4 linked regions of the Saccharomyces cerevisiae S288C genome follow. Changing the gene in region 2 together with the main gene of any one other region gives a genetic interaction. Each region holds a gene or a part of one and is shown on either strand. Other genes may lie near its edges.

The links.
Region 1: of COQ8 (region 2) and COQ10, extra expression of one rescues a mutant of the other (dosage rescue), as found in Saccharomyces cerevisiae (4 studies listed by BioGRID, with this or other methods).
Region 3: of COQ8 (region 2) and COQ11, changing one suppresses a phenotype caused by changing the other (phenotypic suppression), as found in Saccharomyces cerevisiae (one study listed by BioGRID).
Region 4: of COQ8 (region 2) and CBS2, extra expression of one rescues a mutant of the other (dosage rescue), as found in Saccharomyces cerevisiae (one study listed by BioGRID).

Annotation. Positions count from the first base shown.
Region 1 is NC_001147.6:307,717-312,209, forward strand, and holds COQ10 (ubiquinone-binding protein COQ10), read left to right. Parts: upstream 1-2,595; coding exon 2,596-3,219; downstream 3,220-4,493. Other genes in the region: RCL1 (rRNA-processing endoribonuclease), read left to right, coding at 222-1,325; ERMES complex subunit MDM12, read right to left, coding at 1,608-2,423; CSI2 (Csi2p), read right to left, coding at 3,626-4,493. UniProt on the Saccharomyces cerevisiae protein: Required for the function of coenzyme Q in the respiratory chain. May serve as a chaperone or may be involved in the transport of Q6 from its site of synthesis to the catalytic sites of the respiratory complexes.
Region 2 is NC_001139.9:281,954-287,703, forward strand, and holds COQ8 (protein kinase COQ8), read left to right. Parts: upstream 1-2,488; coding exon 2,489-3,994; downstream 3,995-5,750. Other genes in the region: DEAH-box ATP-dependent RNA helicase PRP43, read right to left, coding at 1-1,984. UniProt on the Saccharomyces cerevisiae protein: Atypical kinase involved in the biosynthesis of coenzyme Q, also named ubiquinone, an essential lipid-soluble electron transporter for aerobic cellular respiration.
Region 3 is NC_001144.5:716,071-721,170, forward strand, and holds COQ11 (ubiquinone biosynthesis protein COQ11), read right to left. Parts: upstream 1,909-5,100; coding exon 1,075-1,908; downstream 1-1,074. Other genes in the region: GTPase GUF1, read left to right, coding at 1-956; GCD7 (translation initiation factor eIF2B subunit beta), read right to left, coding at 2,247-3,392; Sec63 complex subunit SEC72, read right to left, coding at 3,719-4,300; Ran GTPase GSP1, read right to left, coding at 4,701-5,100. UniProt on the Saccharomyces cerevisiae protein: Component of MIOREX complexes, large expressome-like assemblies of ribosomes with factors involved in all the steps of post-transcriptional gene expression. Component of a multi-subunit COQ enzyme complex required for coenzyme Q biosynthesis.
Region 4 is NC_001136.10:848,438-853,544, forward strand, and holds CBS2 (Cbs2p), read left to right. Parts: upstream 1-2,790; coding exon 2,791-3,960; downstream 3,961-5,107. Other genes in the region: RNA-processing protein REF2, read left to right, coding at 162-1,763; CAB5 (putative dephospho-CoA kinase), read right to left, coding at 1,837-2,562; RKM2 (protein-lysine N-methyltransferase), read right to left, coding at 4,096-5,107. UniProt on the Saccharomyces cerevisiae protein: Translational activator of cytochrome b. The cytochrome b (coB) leader RNA may represent the target sequence for CBS1 and/ or CBS2.

The sequences.
Region 1 (4,493 bases), on a different chromosome or scaffold from region 2:
TTACTTGCACTTACTTTGAAGGAGGATGTCAGAATTACCCTCGCCATATTGGTAATGTAATTTTTCACGGACTCGAGATTGAAAAAATTTCAGAAAAATTTGCAAAAAAGTGCCGATGAGATGAGCCTTCATAAGCTACGTATGTTGTAAGGGTATAACATCTGTCAAGCTTCACCATTGTCAACACTTTTCCACTAGGATAATCCTCCAAAAGTATAGCAATGTCATCTTCCGCCCCCAAATACACCACTTTCCAAGGGTCACAAAATTTTAGGTTACGGATCGTCTTGGCAACATTATCAGGGAAACCAATAAAAATTGAAAAAATCCGTTCAGGCGACTTAAATCCCGGTCTGAAAGATTATGAAGTGTCTTTTCTAAGGCTGATCGAGTCGGTCACCAACGGGAGTGTAATTGAAATTTCTTATACCGGTACTACTGTGATTTATAGGCCCGGTATCATAGTTGGTGGTGCATCAACTCATATCTGCCCTAGTTCCAAACCGGTAGGTTATTTCGTCGAACCAATGCTATATTTGGCTCCATTTTCAAAAAAGAAATTTTCTATATTATTCAAAGGCATAACTGCATCTCACAACGATGCCGGTATTGAAGCTATCAAATGGGGACTCATGCCCGTTATGGAAAAATTTGGCGTTAGAGAGTGCGCCCTACATACTTTGAAAAGAGGTTCACCACCACTAGGAGGTGGCGAAGTGCATTTGGTTGTTGATTCTTTGATTGCGCAACCTATAACTATGCATGAAATAGATAGGCCCATAATTTCATCGATTACCGGTGTAGCATACTCTACCAGAGTAAGTCCGTCGCTTGTGAATAGAATGATCGATGGTGCTAAGAAGGTATTGAAAAATCTGCAATGCGAAGTTAACATAACGGCAGATGTCTGGAGAGGTGAAAATTCAGGGAAGAGTCCAGGCTGGGGTATTACTTTGGTTGCTCAGTCCAAGCAGAAAGGTTGGAGTTATTTTGCAGAAGATATCGGTGATGCAGGTTCTATACCTGAAGAACTTGGTGAAAAAGTTGCCTGTCAATTATTAGAAGAAATATCAAAGAGTGCAGCAGTTGGTAGAAACCAGCTTCCATTAGCAATTGTTTACATGGTCATCGGGAAAGAAGATATCGGCAGATTGAGAATTAATAAGGAACAGATAGACGAAAGATTCATAATCCTCTTGAGAGATATTAAGAAGATCTTTAATACTGAAGTCTTTTTAAAACCAGTTGACGAGGCGGATAATGAAGACATGATAGCTACTATCAAGGGTATTGGTTTCACAAACACAAGCAAAAAGATTGCATAGCATGTTCTAATATTATTCAATAGATATTAGACCACTGTATATAAGTTATATATATATATATGATTATTTAGGTGTAACTTCACGGACAACTGTCTAGAGTATAAGATTACTGGAGGATCATTGATGATTTCCTTTAACTCTTTTGGGTCATCTAAAATATCATCAAAGAGCGTATGCGAAAAGCGCGTTAAGAATAGATTACTTCATGACAAAATATAATTTTCCAGCTCAAAAATGTTTGTTTTTTTATGTAGACACTATTTTCAAACTATCTTTGTTAAATTACTCATCACCATCGTTGAAATCCAGATTAATCCAACTTGGCCATGCTAACTCCTTTCTTAAAAAATCTTTGAATATCGTAAACAAAAACTGTTCTAGTTCTCCAACACTTCTTAATACTGAGCCCTGTCCCTGATATTGTTCCCCTATTTCGGTTTCAATCTTCATACTTCTCACAATGGATATTCGCTCCAATGGCTTAGTAGCTGCCAGAATTGGCCCCTTAGGATCTAAAACAGTTTGGTTGTCATCCAGTGCAGGATCACTAACATCACACAGAAAGCTAAGAAATAGTTGCTTTGATAAACATGCAACAATGCAAAGGGAATGGAGACCGATATCACTGATAGAAAGTTTTACTGGCAAAGTCATAAATTTTTCTACGGGATAATTCAGCACAAGGTCGGCACCAATCGTAACGAGTAAGTCACCCTTGTACTCGACCTCTAGTAAAAATTGTATATCGTTGGGGGATGGCATCACCACAGGCGCCTCAAAATCATCTTTAGGTCCTTCATGATTAGCTATAGTACGATCAGGACAAATATGTTCGCTGTCCTCCTTGTTGTCATTATTTTCCTCCGTCTCTTGATCAGCCTCCTCTCTAATTGAATCATAAAACTCATCTAGGGGATCTGTTATTTCTTTCAGTGTTATAGCAGGACCAACTTTTCCCAGATCAAAATCTAGTACCCTAAGATTACTTACGTAGCTTGGTAGTTGCGTATTTTGTAAATATGAATTTAAATGTTTTCTTATAAGATCATTCAGTCTATTGTCAGATTCCAATGTACTCCAATTAATATCAAAAGACATTTGGATTAGTTGAAGCCAGCTTATGATCTGTTTCAACCGTTACATAGGATGGCATGCTTTTTCTCATGTTAGAGAAAAATTTAAAGATCGAGTTGTCTGAAAAACCTGAACTATTTAAAACGAATAATAGGATAAGGAGCCAAACAATAAACGGCTAAAGATACCGTGGAGAATGGTTTTGATAATAAGGCCCTCACAGACATTGATATTATTCAGGAAAGCGATGCTCAAGCCAATTGGGAGATATCCTCTTAAAAGAAATTTTTTTGGTTTGAGCGGTACCAATCACACTATTAGGGAACAGCGATATGTTTTGCGCAAGGCCATAAACGCCCCTCCAAGCACAGTCTACGCTGCAGTGTCAGAAGTTGCCCAATATAAGGAATTTATTCCTTATTGTGTTGATTCGTTTGTAGATAAACGAAATCCTGTGGATAACAAGCCTCTCATTGCGGGGCTTCGAGTTGGTTTCAAACAATACGATGAGGAATTTATATGCAATGTTACCTGTAAAGATACTGATCATACGTATACCGTTGTTGCAGAAACAATATCTCATAATTTGTTTCACCTTTTGATTTCGAAATGGACCATAATGCCTCACCCAAATAGACCAAATGCGGCCATGGTAGAACTTCTATTAAGATTTAAATTCAAATCTCGGATATATAACAGTGTCTCTCTAATATTTGCGAAAACTGTGACTGAATTGGTGATGAACGCATTTGCCAAAAGAGCATACCATTTAGTAAGATTAGCAATGCTAAAACCTTCTTCTAAAGAAGGCTCTCCGTGATATCTTCCGTATAATTTCAGATAACAAAGATCATGCCATCCAGGATAAGCGTATGCATGGTTAAATTTTTAGACTATAGAACAAGATTTTTCTGTATAGTTATGTTTATAGTATTTAAGCTTTCTAACAAGCTCCAGTAGGGGCGGAGGATACAAACAAATATATTTTGCTGCAAAATTTCCTGGTCTTCCGTCGCAATCAACAAGTTGATACGCAGATGCACCATTTTATTCATTGGCAAAGTACGATCAGTTTAGTGCTTGTATCTGTATGCGAAAAAAGAATGGTGTACTAAAAACAGCGCATGGTGATGGCGAGGAATTTACACGTATCCTCTCATTAATTGAAGTATTAGGTTTTCGAGTCGCACTTAGTGTAAATGAGGTGTAGAAAGGTGGGGACGCAATTATTCCTTACCGTCGAGCAGTTGATCCAGATGAACACTGGGAGGACGGTACTTCTTTACTTTACCCTGACTAACATTTGATTTTGGAGTAGAGCGGTCTTCAGAGTCGGGACTTAAATTGTATGATGTATAATTGAATGGATTAGTGCTGTCTGTAAACTTTCCCAGTATTTGGGTAGCACCAGGTTCCCTTGGAGTACTGGACAAGGAATCATATATAGCACTCTCATTGCTTTGAGACCATGTATTAGAGTTGTTGGCATCAGATTGCAGAATTTCGGTGGGTGAAATAAACATAGATGATCTGAAGTTATCGTTGGCATCTGTTTTATTGTTCAAAAGATTCAAAACAGAAGTGGATCCTAGAGTATACAAACTCATACGAGATGAGTTATTTTTCAGAACTTTTTCTGATATGTCACTGTCGTCAGAATGGGAAGATGTTTCACTTTCGTCGTCATTAATGTTTGTTTGGAAGTAGAAAGGATCGTGTTGGTATTGATTTTCTAGATTTCTCAGCTTATTTTCCTTTCTAGCACTTCGCCATGACTTTATATTCAATGCAATCCATGCACCCGTCAGTGATAGTAGAATTGCACCTAAACAGCCAGCAAATGCAATGAACACAGTACCGTTAGGATGATGAGCCTGATATAAGAATTTATTTCCGTCCGTAACCGGGATATAAACGCTGGAAGGTGTAATAGATGAAGTTGATATTACACTGTTGTTGCTCCATAAACTAGAGTTGGTGTATAAGCTTGTACTAGCGCTCGTGGTGATTTTGGGCATTTTAGTGCTTGAAGTGACATTATGACTTGACGAAACATCCTTACTGGTTACTGAGCTTTTGCCTAAGGACGTGGTT
Region 2 (5,750 bases):
TTGCTACTTGCATGAAAAACCCAGACGCAAGAGCCTTTCTGATGTTGTCAAAGTATTTAGGGCTTTCATAGTCTGTAGTGTTTAATTCTAGGTTGTAACGGTTCATTAATCTTTCTAATTGGGAGCGGATATTATCAGCAGCGGAAAGGGACCTGTAATTTAGATAGTGGTCACGGCACCACTTATGGATACCATATTCATAAGCTTCATCCGATTTGAACGCATGATATACATTTAGTAAGGTGATATGATCACCGTCTGGATGAGCAAAGATATTCTTGGCATCATCTGCTCGCTTCTTGTCCTTTGTTGGGCGAATAAACACGTTTGGAACCGATAGCATGGCCACTATAGTTAGTATTTCTTGAGAACATTGGAACTCAAAGGACCCAATTAACATCACCGCTAGCATAGGATCCAAGGGAAACTGGGATGCCAATCTACCTAGGGGTGTTAAGTTACCTTCGTCGTCCAGACATGCCAAATAATTTAGTTCTTCAAGGGCTCTCATCATTGTTTCCGGAGCCGGTGGATCCATAAAATCGAAATGGACCAAGTCATCAATACCTAATTTTTTTAGTTCTAGAACGGTGGAGGATAAATTGGAACGTAAAATTTCTGGGTAACTTTGCTCTATCAGTTCCTTTTGGAATGCCTCTTCAGTGTATAATCTGAAACATTTACCAGGCCTTGTACGACCAGCACGACCAGCTCTTTGTTGGGCAGAAGCCTTGGAGATAGGGGAAACAAGTAAAGACTCAACTCTAATTCTTGGATTGTAAACTTTTTGCTTTGAAAATCCTGGGTCAACGACGTAGACAATACCATCAATTGTTAAAGAAGTTTCAGCGATGTTCGTGGAGATAACAACTTTCCTGCCTGGTCTACCATTATGTGACTCTGGAGCAGGCTCGAATATTCTTTGTTGTTGATGCGGTGGTAATGAACCATACAGTGGGTATACGGATAAAGGTCCGCATCCCTCTTCTCTAACCAATTGATCACCTTCTAAGGAAATCTTTCTGACAGCGTCTTCAATTTCATCTTCACCAGTTAAAAATAACAAAATATCGCCAGCCTCTTCAGTGGCATGAATTTGCAAAACAGTACGAATGGCAGAATCTAAATAGTCCCTTTGAAATTCCGGTGTATAGTATAGCTCAACTGGATATGTTCTGCCCGGAACGGCAAGTAATGGAGCATCGTTGAAGTAGCGTTGGAACTTCTCTGCATCCAGAGTAGCAGACATAATAATTATCTTCAAATCAGGTCTCCTCTTGACTACTTGCTTCAAAAGACCCATCAAAATATCAGTAGCTAGTGTACGTTCGTGCGCTTCATCCAGAATGATACATGAATAACGCGACAAGTCATGGTCTTCCATTGCCTCTCTCAACAACATACCATCAGTCATATACTTCAATATCGTTTTATTAGAAGTTTTATTTTCGAATCTGATAGAATAACCAACTTCTTCGCCCAACTTGACATCCATTTCCTCAGCAACTCTCTGTGCAACAGACATTGCTGCGACACGACGAGGTTGAGTACATGCAACTTGAGTGTTCTCTAAGTGTGGCATCTCATCGAATAAAACGAATTGAGGAATTTGTGTCGTTTTACCGGAACCTGTTTCACCAACAAAAACCATAATCTGGTTATTTTGATAAAGTTTTAAAAACTCATCTCTCTGGGCATGTACTGGCAATTCTCTTCTAATTTTCAGGATATCAACATATTTTGGTGTAAACTCCCTACCGGTAAATGGATTTATTTTTCCATCTTCAAGTTTTTGGGCCTCTTCTGCTGAAGTATGGTGACGTTGCAAGCCCTTGAATTCACCAGCATCATGATGGACAAGTGGCTCTTCGGATGGAAGAGGATGCTGTTTGGATAATTCTTCCGCAATCTCGGCGGCCTGCTCAGGAATAGAGGTCTCAACTGGATCCGGGTGTTCGGACGAGAATCTTCTTTTGGAACCCATTATTATTCTTGCAGTCCTAATCTTTCTATGCGCGTTTATAAGGTTATACTATCGTTACTCAATCGCATCCCCGTAAACGTGTTAAATATTACAATTGAATAAGTTTCTTTTCACCTCATCTCGCATTTGAAAATTTTTCAGAGGCACCGAAAAAAAAGAAAAAGAAATAAAAAAGGACTTGTGTATAAGATCGCTAGATCAATAAAAAGCAATCTGGTAGATTTATGGGACTCCGAAATGATACTGTCAGTTGAAACAGCAAACGAATACAGAGCGTAAAACTAAACGACCTTAGTTTGGAAAATGATGAAATTTGTCCATAACTATATACTATCAGTCAGCAAACTATGATCCGGGTAATATTCATTTGTAAAGCTTTAGATCTGTAATAGTACCCAGTACTTTTTTAGATGATCTTAATTAGTTAAGATCTTTCTGGTACTGTACTCAGTACGCTTCCTTGGCATCCTTATTGGGACCTGTTCGGCTAAGATATCGTTCGATATGGTTACAAATATGGTGAAATTGAGGAATTTAAGGAGATTGTATTGTTCATCCCGTCTCTTAAGAACTATACAGAACGGGAGAATTTCTTCTGTTTCTTCAATATCGTTGAGTAAGAAATATACTACAAAATCTGCCAAAGAAGGTGAAGAAAACGTAGAAAGGAAGCATGAGGAGGAAAAAAAGGATACATTAAAAAGTTCCAGTGTACCAACTTCACGAATATCGAGATTGTTCCATTATGGCTCACTGGCAGCAGGGGTGGGCATGAATGCCGCAGCAAAAGGCATATCGGAAGTTGCAAAGGGCAATTCTCCCACTTGGAAATCTTTGATTCTATCAGATTCGAATATTGACAGAATTACCAATAAATTTTCTAAAATGAGAGGTGTTGCCCTTAAAATAGGGCAACTATTGTCTTTTCAGGATGAGAAAGTGTTGCCAAAGGAATTATACGAAATTTTATCAAGGGTACAGAATAGTGCAAATCATATGCCTCAAAGGCAATTGGAAAAGGTTATGGCCAAGGAATTAGGTGCTAATTGGAAGACAAAGTTTTCCAAATTTGACAAGATACCTATGGCAGCTGCTAGTATCGGACAGGTACATGCGGCAGAGTTGCCCAGTGGTCAAAGAGTGGTTGTCAAAATTCAATATCCTGGGGTTAAAGAATCCATTGATTCGGATTTGAATAGTTTACTAATGTTACTTACAGCCTCAAGTTTATTACCGAAGGGATTATTTTTGGATAAGACAATTGCCAACGCTAGAACTGAGTTAAAATGGGAATGTGATTACAACAGAGAGGCTAGAGCTCTACAAAAGTTTGAGGCGTTGCTAAAGGATGACCCAGCGTTTGAGGTTCCTCATGTGTTTCCTGAATATACAACCGATAATATTATAACTATGACACGTATGGAGGGAACTGAAATAATGAAATTGCCCAAGGCATCACAAGAAACCAAAAATTTTATTTCGGAGAATATCATGAGACTATGTCTGGAAGAAATTGCCACTTTCAAGTATATGCAAACGGATCCTAATTGGGCAAATTTCCTCTATAACGGTAGGACAAAGAAAATTGAATTATTGGATTTCGGTGCCTCCAGACCTTTTGCAGAAGATTTTATTCTAAAATATAGAAAACTTTTAACTTACGCCACATTGAGAGATAGGAAAGGGGCGTACGAAATGTCTGTACAACTGGGCTATCTCACAGGCTTAGAATCGCAGTCCATGAAAGACGCGCACGTCGATAGTGTACTTACACTTGGTGAACCTTTTAGGGGTGATGTAGATAAATCTTTCGATTTCAAGGATCAAACAGTCTCAGACAGGATTAGAGGTAATATCGGGTTAATGTTGAATGAAAGACTATGTCCGCCACCAGAGGAAACATACTCGTTACATAGAAAATTTAGTGGCATTTTTCTTTTGTGTGCAAGAATGGGTGCGTCTGTTCATTGTGCAAAGCTTTTTAAAGAGATTTTTGCCTATAAAGTTTAAAATACTTCCCCGCTATTTGTATATATGCATATCTTTATATTATGAAAGATATTTTTTTATTTACTTTTAGTCCGTATACTTTTATTTTGTTTTGTTAGACAATCTCGAAGAACAAAAAAAAAAGATAAAACAGAAAGATAAATGTGCACTCTTTTGTACCTCGTTCTGCTATAGTACTTCCAACCAGATCGACTGAAAGATTACTAGTATATACGTCATGTTTTTAAATAGTAGTTCCCATTCTGCTTCAGTGAATTAGATATTTTTTTCCAATCATTCTCTTTAAACCCTCTGCGATAGTGATCCAACATTTTCTTAGCAACGCTAATCCTTCTGCCAATAGCTTCTCAAAATATACACCATTAACTTTACAACATTACATAATATGACATTCCACAGAACCTCTCTATTCCATTTTACCCCATTTCAAATTACTTTTTAGTCTTTGAATTGGGTCGCTTCCTAATTATAGAATTATTTTTCTCTGTAAAGTCCCAGCCTTGTTACAATACAATTGTACATCATTCATGAGAGATGAATATAATCTGCATTTCTTGTTCTAAATTGAATATGTATCTTTGAAAATACTCTGTATGCAGGCAACTTCTTTACCAATATTTACTTTATGAAACACGCCAGCTTTAAGACAATACCTTCGGGTCAGAAATATAGTTTAGTTTGTTAACTACAGCAGTTTCTTACAGAAAATTTTGAACTTCGACATTAGTGCATTTATCTCAGGATATAATGATCCCGTTATCCAATCGATATAGCTTCCTCAGGTTTCCATTCAGTCATAAATGTTAAATTAACGTTGTGCCTAGGGGGCAGATAAGCCTATGACATTGTTTCGTGCTCATCAAAACACTAATGTAATGGATGGCAACTGTTGCACCTATTCAGGCTGCAAAAAAAGAAGTATCATTTAAATCAAAAGGAATATGAACTGATATAAAAAGAACATATTCATACGGGCGAATTTGGCTAGTAACCATTACGAGATAGGATAGAATATACGTATGAGATTAGAATAATTAACATAAAATATGATAATATCGCTTTGCATTGCAATTAGCATACGTAACCTCACACAAATTTTATACTAATTGTCTAGGCATTTCATACAAGAATAACATTAGCGATCATTAGATCAGCTAAAGTTCTACATAAATGCTGCTGAACATAATAACATAGGTCCGCTTAGCAATATCAAGACATTATTACCGCTGTCAACATTTCTTGTCCGTCAGTGGACTTACAAGAATTGAACCGAAAAAAAAAAGAATAGAAAAGGTACAATAAAAAGCAATCGGTAAACGCGACAGCAGAGACGCCCCTGCACATTTAGTACACCGTTTCCTTCATTTAACCATCCTTAAATTATCACTTGCAGTATAAAAAATGAAACGGACAGGAATTGAACCTGCAACCCTTCGATTGCAATCTTATTCCGTGGAATTTCCAAGATTTAATTGGAGTCGAAAGCTCTACCATTGAGCCACCGCTTCATCTTGAAATATCCAAGAATTAAATTCTTACTTGTCTCCCCGAAAGCTGTATCTTTAAAACGGCTCCTAGTTATCGTCAGTTTTGATAATTAGTAACTAGAATATAGTATCACCAAGAACAGGCCAGGTAATATACTAGAAGTTGTGTATAACTACTAATATTTTTATACATATAGATGCCAAGTCAAGGTCCAATTAGTAGATTTTTCACTCTACCTTGCATTATTACCTGAAAGATCGTTTGTGTT
Region 3 (5,100 bases), on a different chromosome or scaffold from region 2:
AAGTACTTCCCGGATTTGAAGAACAAAAACCCATGGTATTTGTGGGTGCTTTCCCGGCTGATGGGATTGAATTCAAAGCCATGGATGATGATATGAGTAGACTTGTCCTCAACGATAGGTCAGTTACTTTGGAACGTGAGACCTCCAATGCTTTGGGTCAAGGTTGGAGATTGGGCTTTTTAGGATCTTTACATGCATCTGTTTTTCGTGAACGACTAGAAAAAGAGTATGGTTCGAAATTGATCATTACTCAACCCACAGTTCCTTATTTGGTGGAGTTTACCGATGGTAAGAAAAAGCTTATAACAAATCCGGATGAGTTTCCAGACGGAGCAACAAAGAGGGTGAACGTTGCTGCTTTCCATGAACCGTTTATAGAGGCAGTTATGACATTGCCCCAGGAATATTTAGGTAGTGTCATACGCTTATGCGATAGTAATAGAGGAGAACAAATTGATATAACATACCTAAACACCAATGGACAAGTGATGTTAAAATATTACCTTCCGCTATCGCATCTAGTTGATGACTTTTTTGGTAAATTAAAATCGGTGTCCAGAGGATTTGCCTCTTTAGATTATGAGGATGCTGGCTATAGAATTTCTGATGTTGTAAAACTGCAACTCTTGGTTAATGGAAATGCGATTGATGCCTTGTCAAGAGTACTTCATAAATCGGAAGTAGAGAGAGTGGGTAGAGAATGGGTGAAGAAGTTTAAAGAGTATGTTAAATCACAATTATATGAGGTCGTTATACAGGCCCGAGCTAATAACAAGATAATAGCTAGAGAAACAATTAAGGCAAGAAGAAAAGATGTTCTCCAAAAGCTGCATGCTTCTGATGTCTCACGAAGGAAAAAACTTTTGGCGAAACAGAAAGAGGGTAAAAAGCATATGAAAACTGTAGGTAATATTCAAATCAACCAAGAGGCATATCAGGCTTTTTTGCGCCGTTAGCATTGCATATTATTGTTATTACCATTTTAAAATTATACCAAGCTGTATATAGTTAAGTACTTTTCATTTGTAAATAAAAGAGAAAAATAGATTAATAAATATAATAATGGCATAATCATTATGCTTTAAGTATTTCCTCAAGTGTAACTACCCCTTTAAAATCTGGGTTTTCGATATTTTTCAGGACGGATTTGCTTACCTGCTGAGTGGATACTGTTGGCCTAATCAAGTCGTTCAAAAGCTGCAGCTTATTTCTCAATAGAAATTTGTTACCGCAGTAAAGTAGTTCAAGTGCAGTATGAATAAAAGACCGTGGTCCAATTGCATTTCTGTGCTCATCGAACATAAAACCGGGTCTCACAATAATAGGCCTGAAATATCTCTGCATTTTTTCTAGTTCAATCTCCGCCTCTCTTTTCGAATTAATATAGCCACTAGGAATCAATGGGAAACCTTTATCGGCGGAAATATACGTAAAAGATCTTTGATTTGCTTTTTCTTGCTCCTTTTTGCTTTTCTTTAGGATTTTTTGTTTAAATGTATCTGCCAAAATAATAGCACTTTGCTTATTCATCATTTCATAAGTAAAATAAGGACTGCTTTTTTTTAAAGGATTTGGACCTGCACCAAAAGATAGAAGGCGTGATTTTGAATCATATGTAGGGGATTTGGATAGAGTTTGCTTATAATTTTCATTTTCTAGGAGGATTCCCAAAGAATGAACTACGTTAGTAGCATTATTCAATAATTCATGGTAAGAATCAGGCTTAAAAATGTCAGCAGCGGTCCATTGGACCTCCTGCATCCATTGCTTATCATTTAATTCATTGCTATGAGGAGCTTTACCGGACCTTGACACAGAAACGACTTGGTAGCCCGAAGTCACTGCTTCTTGACAAATTCTTTTACCTAAAAATCCATTGCCTCCAAAAACTATAAGCTTTGGTATCATTTTCTACTTCAGTTCAAGCTTTAGCTGTATTTTTGTATACGATACATATTTCCCTTATTTTTTTATTTTTTCAATGTTTTCCTGTTTTTCTATTATGCAAAAGCGACAAGATGGCATTACGAGGAGACACTCAACTAAAAAAAAAAAATGAGTCAAATTGCCAGACTTTGTAGAGAAGTAAAAAGTTAATGCTAAGATGCTCTTTATGTATTAGTCTTTTAACATATTCAAGGATACGTAAATATTCTGATTATATACTAATAATTAATAATAAAAAAATTGTTTTGATCTACAAGATTTTTATTTATTTTCATGAGTAATGTACAAAAGACACATCATCACGCCTTATTTTTATCCAAATGCACATCAATTTGCTTGTAATTATCCCACGCAATACGATATATAAAACTTGGATTGAACCCACCGACGTTTGTAATGTAGATATCAATATTTTCAGGCGGAACATAATCGGTAATTTGATTAACTGTATCTAATCTTTTTCTTGGATCCATTCTAGGTAATATACGTTGGGACCCACCAAATTCGACAAACTTCTCTACGTCGAACGGATATAGAGGAGAAAGCTTATACAAACCTGCAACAGCAAATACAGGGGTTCTAAATTCTCGGGCGCATTCACAAACGGATGATACACCTGAATTTGACGAGATAGTCCCCCCATTGACAAAAACGGCTTTAGTGCCGATAATAACCTTACCCACACGGGACATTAAAGCAAAAACAGCTGAGTCTGGGACTACTAGGGTTTCTATGTTGTGCTGTGCTAATTTTTTGGCAAACTCATGTGCATTCTTGGTGTTATTAGGGAACCCCTCTGTAACTAAAACCGTAAATGTTCTATTACTACGTTCGCGAGCAGTAATCAGAAATTTTAATACGGTTTTTGAATCAGGTGTGGGAGTTAATAAAATCTCATGATCGTGAATCAAATCAATAGCAATTTGCTGAATACCTTCATCAATGTTTTTTATCTCATCTATAAGATCCTTGATACCCTGAATGGCTACTTGACGGTAATCAGTCTTGGTTTTCATACTAGAGCTCCCTGAACTATTTTTTCTATTCTGATGAGGTTGCTCCGGTTTCTGTAATAAATTAAACATAGAGGAAATCAAAGGTTCAGCAACGGATGTGGATGTGACAGTTGTGCTCATAGTGTCTTCTTCTACTTCATCCCTCAAAACAGCCAGTATTCTTCTAATTACGTTACCGCAACTGAAAGCAGTAGGATGAGCTTTTTCTAGACTATTACCTAAATCTCTGATTTGTTCAATAAGGTCATTAACATGGTTCCAACGAGCTGCAGAGATAAATCGCATTAACAGTTGTAAAGTTTCCAAGGCGATGGCGTATGAACCTTGCACTTGTCTTCTTTTTAACTTAGCAACGAAAGTGTCAATGGTAACATTCACATCAGATGTTGCCGCATTCGGATGTACTGAAGTGAATGCTTGAGAGGACATCTTATGTTGGGCAAAAGTTCGAAAGTTGGCGTGTTGTGTTTACTGGTTCCGCACGAGTAATGAATGGTCTGTTTCATTTATGAAGGTTTTTTCTATGTCCATTTTTTTTTTTCAGCATCACGAAGAAAAAAAGCTTGCGGTTGGGAAGCAGAGGTATCATATACTCAAGCTGTATAGTTCAAAGCCTTTCATAAAGGCTATTCCTTAGTATATATGATAATGGGCTTGCTATGTGTTTTTGAATCTATCTAAAATTTCTTGCTATGTAGTCGTGTGTAGCATAGAGACATATCAAGAAAAGGCTAAAATATCTTCGGTTATGCACCTTATTCACCGTTATATTCGGCCAGATTTCTTGCAGTTTCTATTAAAAGGGCTCTAAGTTTCATATCCTCTGGGGCTAAAGCTAAACCTCTCTCGCATGTTGCCCTAGCCTCTTCCCACTGTCTCAATTTTAGCAAACAGTCCGCCTTCCTGACAAATACGTCTGGTTGGATAAGTCCCGTACCAAGTAAGAAATCCAAGTCTTGCAACGCCTCTAAATGCTTTCCGAGTATTAAACATAAATCTATTTTACTACGAAGCATAAAGTGTAGCTCTGGTAGCTGAATAGCAAAAGCTTCCCAAGGCGCTCTTTTTCTTTGTGCCATTTCGATTGCTAAAGAAACATTCTTCAATGCCTCATTCAATTTTTTTTGTTGTAAATTCTTCATACCACTTTCAAATAAACCCTTGATCATTTTGCTTAGAGCTTCATTCGGTTGTGGTGTAAAATTTGGGTTGGTTTCTCCAATCAAAGATGTAGTGAGAACATTTATTTGATCGATATTAGTTTCGGTAGATAGTGCAACAACAGCATCACTCGCAGTGATCAGTTTACTGTTTGCATTGTATTCAAGGGTAACCATGGTTGAATAAGCTTGCTTTGGTATGCCTTTAACGCAAGTTGAAGGAGACGTTTCTTTGATTTTAAGGCTATTGGTTTTATGTTCAAAGATATAATCTAATTGTTACGTGTGCTCCTACATCCGTTTGAAACGATCCATAAACGATCTAAAAAATATAATATTAGACAAGCCAAATACGTTTAAATATACTTAAATCACAGCATATTCACATTCAACTATTTGTTATATATTTAAATCTGTTTTATAAAAGACAGGAGTACCAGTTAGTTTGTGTTTTCTTGTTGCAATTATAAAATCTTCAAAATCATGTGGATTTTTATTGAATTTCTATATCGAGATGAATGTAAATATGTATACAGTTTAGGGTAGGGAAAAAAGAAAGCTTGTTCTCGTTTGTCCCTTATAAATCAGCATCATCTTCATCAGGCAATGGCAAAGCAGTAGCTTGTTCCATTTCTTGTTGGTATTGTTGCATCAATTGTTCATCGACTTGGACTTCTGGTGGGGCTAAAGCTGGAGAAGCAACAAATTCTAATTGTGGGTTACCAGCCAATTTTCTGGCCAACCATAAGAAAGGCTTTTCAAAGTTGTAGTTGGACTTGGCAGAAATATCGTAGTATTGCAAGTTTTTCTTTCTGTGGAAAGTGATAGTCTTGGCCTTGACCTTTCTTTCTTTGACATCGACCTTGTTACCACACAAGACAATTGGGATGTTTTCACAAACACGGACTAAATCCCTGTGCCAGTTTGGAACGTTCTTGTAAGTAATTCTGGAAGTAACATCGAACATGATGATGGCA
Region 4 (5,107 bases), on a different chromosome or scaffold from region 2:
CTATTATATATATTATATATACTTTTATCAAGACATCGTGTGAGTAAGTGAGGTTAAAGCTCAAAAACCTACAAGCAAAGGCACAAGGAAATCGAAAGGACCAAGAAAGGAAAAGAAAAGAAACGATACGATAAGTAAAGACACTGTGGAAGAATTGAACAATGTCAGCACCTGTTCCTCAATTAGTAAATATTTCTCATGCCTTGCAAGCTTCCACTATCCAGCAAATTCGTTTGGATATGGTAGATTTTAATAAAGATTGCAAATTATCTTCCATTCAACTGGCAAGAATTGACAAGTATATCGATTCTTTGCAAGCGGCTTTGAATCAGTTTACCAAAGATAACTTGCACATAGAACGGAAGGAAAAGAACGTGACTGAAGCAGATATACAGCTGTATTCTGGCTTAAAATCAATGTATCTAGATTATTTGAACCAGCTAATTAAACTAAAGCATGAGAAACAACACCACTCTACACCGCCCATCGCTAATGATGTCTCCCTGGACTTCTTCGTTAACCAATTGCCTAAGTTTTCTCCCGAGGAAAGGAAAAATTACATTGACAATTTAATCCTGAATAAAAATAGCCATAATCGATTATCTAAAATGGATGGTCTGGTAGATGCAGTCATCAATTTATGCGTCTTGGATACTTCCGTTGCTGAAAATGTACGATCCTATATGAAATTATTAGATACATTGGGTTTCCAAAAGGGTTCGAATAGTACTGGTACAAAGGCCAACCTCAAAAAGAAATTGGCTAGTTCGAAAGCAAAGATAAAGGATTCAGAAAAAGAAAAGGAGAAGGAGAAGGATAAATCAAAAGTCAAGATGAAAACTAAATTAAAACCTTCTCCTTTGCTCAATAACGATGACAAAAATTCTTCTCCATCGCCTACTGCATCTACCTCTTCAATGAAGAAATTGAAGTCGGGTTTATTCAATAAAAATGAAGCTAAGTCTACAGAATCTCTACCTACTTCTTCCAAGAAAAAACTATCATTTTCTAAATATCTGAACAAGGATGACGCAGATATGACCAAGCTTGGGACTAAACGGTCAATAGATGTGGATTTCAAAGTCAACCCCGAAGCATCCACGGTGGCTTCTAATATCATATCTTCGTCAACGTCAGGATCGTCAACCACAACGGTAGCGACTCCTGCTTCTTCAGAAGAGCCCTTAAAAAAAAAAACCAAAATATCCGTGCAAGACTCTAATGTACAATCGATTTTGAGAAATGGTAAACCGAAAAAAGCACGCATAAGTAGCATCAAATTTTTGGATGATTCCCAACTAATAAAAGTTTACGGTGACGATCTACCGAACCAAGGGCTACAAGTTTCTCCTACTCAATTGAAAAAAATTCTGAAACCATTCAAGGAGGGGGAACCGAAGGAAATTATATTGTTCGAGGATATGTCAATCAAATTAAAACCTCTTGATTTGATGTTTCTGAAGAACACAAACAGTGATGACTATATGGATATATCCGAGACTAAAGGTGGCCCAATACATTGTGAAACAAGGACCCCGTTGATCTATAGAAAAAATTTCAATCATTTCAACCCGGACTTGAATAAAAGGCCGCCAAGAGAACCCATAGAATTCGACTTAAATGGAAATACGAACTCAACCCCGACTATAGCAAAGGCTTTCGGTAAAAATAGTTTATTACTAAGGAAGGACAGAGGTGGTTTGCCATACAAGCATGTCCCCATAGTAAAAAGAAATAAATATCCTCCAAGACCAGTACACTAAGCTATGACATGCTGATACATAAACATGTAGTATATATACTCATTTTATATAATGTAATTATAAGATATCAACCTTATACCGCTGAAGACTTTTTATTTTGAAGTTTTTTCATCAGTAATCTGGACATGACGATGCTACTGGCACTTACGGCCCCAAAAGGTGGGAAATACTCCAAAACAGTTCTTAATTTACTAGGTTGGATTTTTTTTACAACACTTTCAATCTGTTCGTATAAGTCAACCAATGTGCTGTTATTTTGTAGGATATAGTCAGATCTTGCCATCCTTTCTTCAGTGCTCATTTGACTATTTAGCCTGTTTTTTGCATCTTCTTCACTAAGTTCAGGATTTCTTGTCATTAATCTTTCTAGTTGCAATTCTTGCGTACAAATTACGCTTACAGTCACTCCGCATATTGAATCCAGATTTCCTTCAAATAAGAGTGGCACATCCAATACACACATTCTATATCCCTTCAAGTAATAGTAGCCAATTTCTTTGAACATTGCATACCTGATTGCAGGATGTGTTATCCCATTCAAGGCTTGCAAATCTTCTTTATGACTAAAAACCCATTTCCCTAGGGCTTCACGATTTAAATGCCCATCCTCCAATAATAAATTCGGTATTTTGTCCTTGAAGTATAACACAATTTGATCATAAGCATTCTGTCCTGGTTCGACCACTTGTCTAGCAATCTTGTCCGCATCAACAATGGGTAGTTTGTATTTGTCTCTGAGTCTTCTCGACACTGTGCTCTTACCACAAGCGATCCCACCTGTCAATCCCACTACCAGCATATTTTAATTGTGGCTATCTGACAACTTTCACTGAGCTTTTAATTTGGACCGTTATTATTGTGCCATGTATTCTCCCCATCCCCATTCTAGGTAAAACAAGGGTAAGAACAAAAATTTAAAAAAAAAAAAATAGAAAAAACCTTTGCATATATTTGGGTCTGCCTAATTCATCTAAAGCATATTTCAATTACAACCACGCAAAGGATTAAAAAAATCCAGAATACGATAATGTCAAGCTCAATACCTAGAGTTTACTCTCTAGGGAACTCAGCCATGACGTACTTACTAGCATTGAGAATTGCACAACTCCCGAGTCAACCAAAGGTTCCATCAGTTGTTCTTCTTTTAAACGACCAGAAGAAACTGAATAGATTCCTCAATAATGACTCTAAAATTATTGTTAAATCGAGTAACAACAATAAAGAAACTTATCATAGACAGTTTATGGCATCTTGTGTCCCGCCCATTCTAAGCAATGGTGAAATTGCACCAATTGAAAATTTAATTGTCTCAGATCCCTCTTCGAAATTTATCACTGCCCAACTTTCTAAATACAATAAATCTTTGAGACCCGAAACCAACATTCTGTTTTTGAATCCAAGCTTAAATCTATTGGAACATTTGCATAGATATCGATGGCGCTTTGATGAGGCAAGACCAAACTTGTTCATGGGCTTTACAACACCAGTTGACGTTGGGACCATACATCAAGAATTTCAACTGTCTCTCAAAGTGAAAGGAAGGATACAATTTCATATTGCAAAGATTGATGGTTTTCCTCGAATGAGTAGTACTGGTAAAAGTGCGAGTCTTTCTCTAAGAGGTGACAGGCAGAAAAATGAAAAAGAAAATAATGCGTTTTATAAGTTGTTTAGAGAAATTTCCAGGCTACGATCTGGAATAGGTTCCGATCTAGTTAGTTTTGATCTGCATGTTCATGGTTTCCAGGATTTGTTCTTCACTGAACTGGAGAAATTGATATTGGAGAGTTGTACCGAGCCATTATTGGCAGTATATGATTGCGTATATAAAAAGGAACTTTTGAAAATCCCCGGAGCACAAGATATAATAAAAAAGTTGATTAGTGAGCAGCTGTCAATTATCGATCGATCCTACCCGTCACTAAACACCAACCCAAACTATTCTGTAATCTTTGACAAGGAGAGAATATTTAGCTTGGTGATGAGAGATCTAGAAGTTAATGGGCACAAGCGCGCTAAGTTGGCCCAATCTTTAAATCAATTGAATCAAACGAACATTAATGAACTTAACGGATTTTTTGTTTCTCTTGGTAAGTACAAAAAATGTAACTGCAAGTGGAATGATATACTTCTGACTTTAATAAAAGGGAAACAGTTTATTACTAAGCAAAAAGCACTAGATTATCATTACCTGTGAAGAAATTTCATGTATATACAATAGATATTCCTAAATTTTCATATATGAATGGCTGCTGCGCACATGTACTTGCGAAGAGAAGCATGGGCACTGGCACTTCCGAATTTAAAGTTATTTCTTGGACTTTACAAATACCTATGATTGCAGGTCTTGTAAGTGTTGTGTAAGTATTTTTATATACCCTTTGTATATGGTAATTAAGTTTTGTAAGCAGAGGTTATTCTCAAGATTAGATACTTTTTCTGTCAACTCGCTAAGCGTCTTTGTATATTTTGCAGTTAAGGAGACCAATAATTCTTTTAAAACTGAAGAGATTTTTGGCTTGAAGTAATCTTCTGATATGTAACCTTCAATGAATTTTCGAACCCTCCTTTCATCCCTCGTCACATAATAGTTCAATGCTACGAATATCCTATAACTGATATCAGTCTCATTGATAGTGTAATCTCCCCAATAATCATGTTCCAATAGAAACGTTTTTACCTCCTTTTTGTCGTCGTCTATTAGTTCAATAATTTCGTCAGATATGTCTAAGTAGTTCCATTTGTTTCCGTCTACCACAAATCCATACTCGTTCAGTAAAAAATCATTTGAGTGTGCACCATAATTCAAAAAGAGCTCCTCGTTAATGTTGTCATAGAGGTGATCGCCGCATCTAATGGTAAATTGTCCAATTCCAATGATGTTTTCTCCTTCTGACCTCAACTGAGGACTTAACTGAGGATAGCAGTGCAAATCCGACTCACAAATGTGGTTCATGAAATCGACATACGGCACTAAAGTGAAATTGCTTGGGGAGTCCTCTATTTTCAACGGAATCTTCGCATAAAGACATCTTGAGTTTATAATAAAATAAACATGTACAAAAAGGGAGAATAACTCATCACTAGTAAATTTATCAGAATTTTTCGTACAGCTTAAGGAGCCGTAAATTTCATTCCATTTCAAAACCACCTCTGAAATGGTTTCCCAATCTTCTCTGACAAGGCCACTAATTCTTGCCATATGCTTTCGTGAGGCAGCAGGGAGATATTCAATCAGTGAATGGTAACGTGAATTGGGATCACAGTTCCAAATGGCTGGGATTGATCGCAGCTCCTCCATTGAGGGCCATACATCAAAGAATGGTTTCCAATCTGAGTAGATT